Tribolium castaneum: one gene and its partner. The protein of the gene in region 1 binds, or shares a complex with, the protein of each later gene. Links are inferred from orthologs where the notes say so. Each region holds a gene or a part of one and is shown on either strand. Other genes may lie near its edges. The genes, in order: me31B and exu.

Region 1 (3,927 bases):
ACACCTTTAAGAGTGAGCTCCTCCATGAGATTGATCTCGTACGGATCTCGGAGATGTTTTCGCATAAACTGCTCAACTGTGAGAGGAAACGTGGCGGAGAACAACAGTATTTGTCTCTCTTGCGGTAAGTTCTTTATCACAGTGTCGAGCATCCCCTTGAAGTCTTGTGAGAGAAGCTTGTCGGCTTCGTCTAAAACTAGAATCTTGCACTGGTCCATTACGGCGACACCCTTTTCCATCAGATCGAGGATGCGGCCAGGCGTTGCTATAATAACTTGTACTTTCTGGTAGATGCGCATTATGTCATCTCTTAAATTTGTTCCACCGGTCGTTACCATCACGCGCACGTCCAAGTGCTTAGCGAGCTCAATGCAAATTTGTGACGTTTGAAGCGCGAGCTCTCGTGTAGGCACTATGATCAGTGCTTGAATGCAGTCTTTCTTGGGATCGATCTGTTCCAACACGGGAATACTGTACGCACCGGTTTTACCTGAAGACCAAAGCATTCAATAATTGACAGCCAATTTTTAGATTATGTCTGTAAAAGTTTGGCCCTCTTCTTTGTCTTTTTTTATTATAAAAATATTGATTTGTAACTAATTTCCAGTTTTTGGTATATCTGATATGATATATGTATAATGATAAATGCAATAAACAGTATTACATCCAAAAAAGATAAGCAAACAAACACAAGTGAGCTAGAGAGGTAATGTATTTCGAGTACATAACGAATACAAGTAAACAAGGTCACCCAATTTACAATAGGCAGTGAACAAATAACGATGATTTTAACATTTCTGGTGTTTGTCTGTGTCTCGGTTCGAACTACCGCTTATGTAGTGAAAGAAAATATAAAAAAAAACACAAATTAATTTTTTACATCGCGTGTTTTTTAGAATAGGACAGTTTAATAATAACACGTATTTTTTGACATCACAAGTAAATTAGTAAATTAAGAAAGTACAATCAGAATTACAAAAAAGAGAACGTTTTATTATTGACTTGATTGTTAAAAAAATTTTGTACAAAAAAGCTCAATTCTGCGAACTAAATTACCAAATAAAGTAGCTTGACTGATTTATAGCGCCCACTTATTCGAGCTGGTATTTCATAAGCGCAAATTACTGTATGTGATTTTTTGCGTCATATTCAAAAATAAATATGACTATTAGCAAAAATCAAGCCATTAGTTTTGCATATTTGTCCCCCCATCCAATTATTGAGTAACAGAACAGGCTTACTAAATATGCACTAAACATTGAGTAAAAAACATACCTGTGCCATTTTTTGCCCTTGCAAGAATATCCTTGCCAGATAACGCAATTGGAATAGAAGCTTCTTGGATAGGAGACGGTTTCTCCCACCCTTTTTCAAAAATACCCATTAATAATTCTCTCTTCAAGCAGAATTCTTCAAATTCATTTCCCCTGGTATCAGTCACATCCTAGTAACAAATACTTGATAAAATAACGGTAACACCTTTTTTGCACGAATGGTGAAAGAAATGCATGAAATCAGGCAAGACGTTATCATTTATAAGAAAAATGAAGGGGAATCCATAGTGTCATCATGTTAATAATGGAAAGCTTTGAATATTATTCCCGGTTTAGACATGCAAGTGACCCAAAGCCTTCCAAGTGACCGTGAACGTACAAAGCAGTGAGTTTTAACTTACACTGGTCTGTATTCTCCTATCCTTGGGTGGAATCTTCAGTTTGGCTTTCCATCCCATGTCATCCATTTTGGTGTCAATATCACTGCAAGGAAGCGGTTCGTCACCGCACATTCTTAATGATAAGCAAACAACTTACACTTTGCCTGACAAAGCCATCACATGGTTCGAATTCAATGTGTCCGTCATCATAATTGTAGAAAATACTATTGCAAGTGTATTAAAAAATAGGGTTTATAAAACCCAAATCTTCTTCCTCTACAATGTGTAGGATAAGTACAGTTCCTAAGATCCCTCACAGGAACGATAATAATCTGCAAAATCCCAGTTTAAACATCAATGACGCAGAAAATTTAAGGTCAATACGGAATAGATATAACCACAAAAATAGAACATCCCGTAATTGTTGCAGTGTCAATAATAGCCAGGTCATGAACATTCACTGGCGATACGGAAATAAAACCCTCAAAAACGGCCAAAAGTTCGACGATTGCAACAAATAAACAGGATTCAGATTTCTAATTAAAATGGCTACTGATTCTTGTGTACAGTGCACCGTCGACTACACATAAATTATTGCACAACGACGCAAATTTACCTGATTCTGGACAAAGAATTTAAGGAATACCGTCGAGACACCCTGGGAAATACTCAGACATTGCTCATAATGTGTGATTTTTGCATCAAATCGCTCTTTTCGAATAACTTTTACCACTGATATGGACGCTTTACTCACCAAAAGGAAAATGACTTTCAGCAATTAACAATGGCCGCGAATCTGCAATGCCAGGATGCTCCGCTAACCAAAGGACAACCCGTGAGATGGCGCGAGAAACAATCGGAAAAAATCAAAGAATTTTTGAAATTTTTGGCCAAAAAATACAATTTTTTTATGGCAGTGATAACAAAGCGCCCCTGATAGGGTCCGTCTCCTTCAACCATAATAAAATTAAGTAACCACTCATGTAAAAAGCTCACAAAAAAGCGTTCAAATTGCGCGCACCACCTTGTTCTCTTCTCACCACCCACAGCACCACCTTGTTCTCTGGCACCACCCACAGAATAACAGGTTTTACAGAAACGCATCTGTCCTTGTCCCGATAGAGCGAAAGTGTCACTAGCACATCTATTGTTGCCAGCGCGTACTAAGCGTTATCGGCGGGCGATTTGAATTGCCCGTAGTTACTTTTCTTTTAAAGTTTGATTGCATTTTTCGTATTGTTTGTAAATATTCACAACAATAGTTGCTAATAACACTTTCTGATGTTAGACAACTATTGTTGCTGAATATTTACAAAGAATACGAAAAATAAAATATGAGAATAAATAAAGACAATAAACTTGTAATAAAAATTTATTATCACTAGTCAATATACACGATACGATAACTATAAACTAATGATTGATCCATCAAATTATTTATATTCCCACAATAAAAAAGTTCAAAAAAGCACACACACGAAAAAAACCACAAAACAGTACTAATTTCACATAAAACAAAGCCGAAGGCGAACACCAAACAAACCAAGCACAAAATGGCGATTTACACAATGGCAACTGTCACAGGTCCACTGTTAATTTCTGCCGATATTATAGGTAGCTTCGCTAAAATTGACTATACGTGTGTGCGACATCTGCGATAGCAAGCCGAACTACAGTCGATTTTGAATTTGGCGCCTATACTTGGCTTGGTGCATTTAGGTTTCACCACCCTGGCACCACCTTTTTCATCCATGATTTGACAGCTATTTAACCTACAATTTGTCGGTCATTTTAATAACAAATAAACAGAATTTTAGCAAAAAATTGAGATTTCGGTAATAACTGTATTGCCGCATTTTTGGAGAGTTACATTTTGCAATAATTTTCAGTATACGTCATGACTGCAAGCAAGGAGGTTTTTGTCGATTTAGAGGAAAAATTCAATAAGGTCCTTAAGTTACTCGAGGACAGTAAATACGACCCTGAAAATCAGCCTTTCGTGTCGAAATATGCGGCCAGCGAGACCCTAGTCAGCATGAAAGCGAGTCTAGAAAATGTGATAGAAACTCAGCCAGACAATGACAAGATAAAACTAACAGGTGGTGCCACATTGTTGTAAATTTGCCTGAAGGTGATAATTTTAGCAATGTTGGGAAGTGTGTACCTGTATCTTGGTATGACTTCAATTGCCACTGAGGAATTATCGACTGGGGAGGGCTATTTGGCAAAGTGTGAAGACCTGATAAAGGATTGCACAGAGGAGCCCCAAGTGG
Region 2 (3,927 bases), on another chromosome or scaffold:
AAATATTCCTACCTTATAAGTTAAGTTATAAAATACCATTTTTGTTTAATTCTGATTATAATCACACAAAAAATCTGTAGGTAAGTGCAATTCATTCCATTTTAAATACGTAATTATTAGCAATATTGTCCATAATATAGGGTATATTCGGATTATGTATGTAGATTGCACTTGCAACAACCATAACTTTAAATTTAAATCGAACTTGTGTTTTAATTAATTGTGTCTAAAAAAAACAATTTGGTGTTGAAAAAAAAATGAAAATCTCCATGTGTCTTGTTTGCTATACAGTACGATATTATACGATATGACGTGAACAACACCGGAACCAGATGCTCGTCTATTCCGGTGCTGTTGCCTATCAGCGACGTTTTCTTTACACAGGTGTTCATTGTAATAAGGACAGTCATACGACGATACTTTTTACACAAACACCTTTACGACCAATAATCGCTCCTTAAGTCACTGTTTTTTTTAAACTCCACAAAAAATTCATTAATTACTTCAAAACCCCCCCAAAAAATGCAAAAACGAGTCAATATCCAGAAACTTCTACGTAAAAATCTGGTGCCTTTTTGTTTTCAAACTCTTCTAGGTACTTGCTTTGAAATTAAGTTGGCCATTTTAACTACGAAATTTAATAAATGTCAGACTTGTAGTCAATAATTCGGTGTTGCCAACATAATGCCAAAGACATAGGCCACTTTGATCAGAAACTTAATTGAAAGCTTCCTATAAATAACTATTTGTATAGTATGGCAAAATTTGTCCATCTTTCATTAGACTCGTCTTAAATAATTAGCCAACAGTATAAATTTTTGTATTTAATTATAATTATAATTTCAAAGAGAAAAATTATAATTTTAAAGCGTGCTAGAAACATAGGATAAAGAGAGTAAAAGATTACAAATTAAATTTTTAATTTCTGATATGGGGCGACATCGGTTGGTGAAGAGTTGTAGCTCAAGTTCACTCGTGTTGAACACTTGTGTAAAAATTTCTGTAAAGTCGGATAAACATAAATATTATTCATGTTTTTTCACTTAGTTTAAAGTCTCTGGAACGTGGTGGAAATTTGCTTTTTCCCTTTTTCAAAAAAATGGCATTTTCTAAAAACCCCAAAACAATTTTTGTCACAAACTTTCAACATTTTGTTGGCCACTGTTTAACCTCCTACATGGATCAAGTTAGCGGCTGTTTCAAACAGCTGATCTAATCCCAGCAACATATGTTTTTGTTTACACAAAAATTCACTTGTTTTTTAATCGTGCTGTCAATCGAATGCGAATCAATCATTTTCTAATTCTAAAAACGGTAAGTCCTCAATTTCAAATTCCGCGCAGTACATGACGTACTTCCGTCTCTCGCCCCCACCTCATTACCCTACACACGTGCAAAATGCATTTTCCACAAAATCACAGCTAATGTTACTAGTGTTCTCACACCTATATTTTCTAGTCTCAAACTTTCCCAACACCTCAACCCTTTACCCAAGAACAAACTTGTGGTAAGTGTAATTATAAGCTTGGGCGTGTCGTAAAAATGTCGCCACGTGTTTCCAGAACCAGCATGGTCCAGAACGACAGTTCGAATTCAGGCGACGAGGGCTCGCCCCCAGTAGCCGCCCCCAACCCGGCCAAGGGCATTCCTTTGGGGAAGTACCGCCTCGTGGGTTGGGGGGTGGACACCACCGGACGCCGCCTCATCGACGAAATCTGCCAAATCGCCGCCTACAGCCCTTCAAGTCAATTTTCCCAATACATCATGCCCTTCTCAGATTTAAACCCTTCGTACCGTCGCAAACACAGCATCCGTGTAGTCAACACGGGTCGCTATCGCATGCTCAAAGACATGCGATCGAATAAATTCGTCAAGACCAAGAGCGACGTGGCGGCGCTTACCGACTTCCTCGAATGGCTGGAGAAGGTGCAAGGGGATGACGCCCACGACGGCATCATCCTCATCTACCACGAGATACGCAAAGCATCACCAGGCATGCTCCTGGAGGTCCTACGCAGGTACAACCTCCTGGAGCGTTTCGCTAAAATTGTCAAAGGCTTTGCGAACGGTTTTAACATTGCTCAAGCAAAATGCGCCAAAACCACCAAATCGTTCAGTCTGAGAGTCATGGCTAAGGTGCTCCTCAACCGCGAAGATGAAGATTTTTCCAGTGCTGTTGACCGAGCGAGGGTTTCGTATGAAATTGCGGCGCATTTAGCGCAAGGCGAACGCCAGGATTTGGACGAGAAGAAACCCACAGGAACCGAACCCGAAATTATTAATTTTGTTTGCCCGTTTGTTAATCCTATTTCAGCAGAAGAGGATGAAATTGCACAGTTTAAGGTCAGTTTTTCGATCAGTGATAATGATAAGTTTATCGTGACTTATCGCAAAAAAATTTTTGATTTCAGGTGTTGCTAGAAAGGCAAAACACTTTCCGCCCTGTTTTTGGTGCCTTATTGAGAGCGAGTCGCCCCGAAAGACAGCATGCAACGCATTTGAGACGACTTTTGGCCGAAAATAATATTAATTATGATAAATTGAAGCAGGCGTATGAGGATGGTGCAAAGGATGGATTGGATAAGGTGCTAAAAAGTGAGGTAAGTTATTCTACAGAATGTTCCAGCGAGTTGAAAAAGTTCATTATTCATACTAACCCCCTTTGATCTAAAATTATTATTTTCAAATATACAGGGTATTTCAGAAATGAATTCCATTCCAAACCCATTATTATTTTTTTAAATGGTACACTATATTTTTTTACATTTTTGGTTGTAAATTTTAACACTGATTTTCTTAAGCTACATTATTATTAGTGGAGTTTGCTTAGTTTTTGAAATAATTTGTTTTTTGTCGAAAACACGCTTTGTAAAAAAAAATATTCTTAAAAAACTAAGAATTCCATAAAAGAAGGACTTTCACCACTTTTATTTTTTTATTTTCGCAGTTAAGTGCCTCTTCTGATTACTCAAAGATTTAACTTTATGCTTTGTTGATTTTTTACGTGTCAAATTTGCCCTATCCTCGAGGTTATCCTTAATAATTACTATGGAAATGTACTAAAACGTCTGAATTTTTTTTAAAATGTCAATTTCATGTCACATTTAAATTTTCTAGTAGTCGCAGGAATGATTTCAGAATTGGCGCGAATAGAAAAATTCTGGTTAATTGTTATTAAACACAGTTATTTTTTGAGAAAATTTACTTAAAAATGTAAAAACAAACCCCCCTTCATGTTGACGTCACTAATTTTCATCAAACTATGCATTCAAAGCTACCTGTGATCAACATGACCTAATTTAATCGCAGACGATCAGAGGTCAATGACCCTTGGGGGTTATTATAAACACGAAAAAATAAAAAAAAGTATTAGAATCTGTGTAATTACCTTAACGGGATCTTTTTCTTCTCTTGCTGTCGAAAGCAAGGTCTCCAAAACAAATGTAAAATGAGAAAAAATGAAACTTTTCCAGTCACTAAAACCACCCCTCGACCACACTTCACTTGAAAAATTTCACTCGGTTTACACATTGTTTGTAACTAATTAAATTGGACAATGTTGTGACTGTAGTAACCGAACAAAAAGTCTTGAATTTTCAGTTTTGTACAAATTTAAAAACGACGCCACCACTCTCGCGCATACCCCATTTTAAAACTGTTGGCAGTGGTGTCGCAACGTCTATTGGCAACGAATGCACGCGCGAAATTCAAAAAAATGTTCGTATTTTAGTTTTCGTCCTAATTCAGTAAGTTTTTGTCCAATTAAGCCCAAAAAGGCTCAGTTAACTTAAAAAAGTAGTTTATTTTTCAATTTCATTTTTTCGAGTTGCAATTTTTGCAATACGATTTTTTTTTCAGGTAGCGAACGCCAAAGAGACTGAACTGAGCGAGCTGTTGGACATTTTGGATTGTTTTTTCGATCCGGAG

Evidence for each region.
Region 2: me31B (region 1) and exu share a complex: the UniProt entries of both Drosophila melanogaster proteins name them as parts of the osk RNP complex. The link is inferred for Tribolium castaneum from reciprocal best matches to the Drosophila melanogaster genes me31B and exu.

What each region holds. Positions count from the first base shown.
Region 1 is NC_087402.1:3,103,418-3,107,344, reverse strand, and holds the start of me31B (ATP-dependent RNA helicase me31b), read right to left. Parts: upstream 2,544-3,927; 5' UTR 2,409-2,543; exon of another isoform or gene 2,271-2,408; intron 1,987-2,270; 5' UTR 1,865-1,986; coding exon 1,812-1,864; intron 1,758-1,811; coding exon 1,676-1,757; intron 1,445-1,675; coding exon 1,276-1,444; intron 491-1,275; coding exon 1-490. Other genes in the region: KIF-binding protein, read left to right, coding at 3,552-3,753, 3,799-3,927. UniProt on the Drosophila melanogaster protein: ATP-dependent RNA helicase which is a core component of a variety of ribonucleoprotein complexes (RNPs) that play critical roles in translational repression and mRNA decapping during embryogenesis, oogenesis, neurogenesis and neurotransmission.
Region 2 is NC_087396.1:24,605,867-24,609,793, forward strand, and holds the start of exu (maternal protein exuperantia-1), read left to right. Parts: upstream 1-1,169; 5' UTR 1,170-1,314; intron 1,315-1,458; exon of another isoform or gene 1,459-1,507; intron 1,508-1,562; 5' UTR 1,563-1,569; coding exon 1,570-2,343; intron 2,344-2,411; coding exon 2,412-2,600; intron 2,601-3,858; coding exon 3,859-3,927. UniProt on the Drosophila melanogaster protein: Ensures the proper localization of the mRNA of the bicoid gene to the anterior regions of the oocyte thus playing a fundamental role in the establishment of the polarity of the oocyte. May bind the bcd mRNA.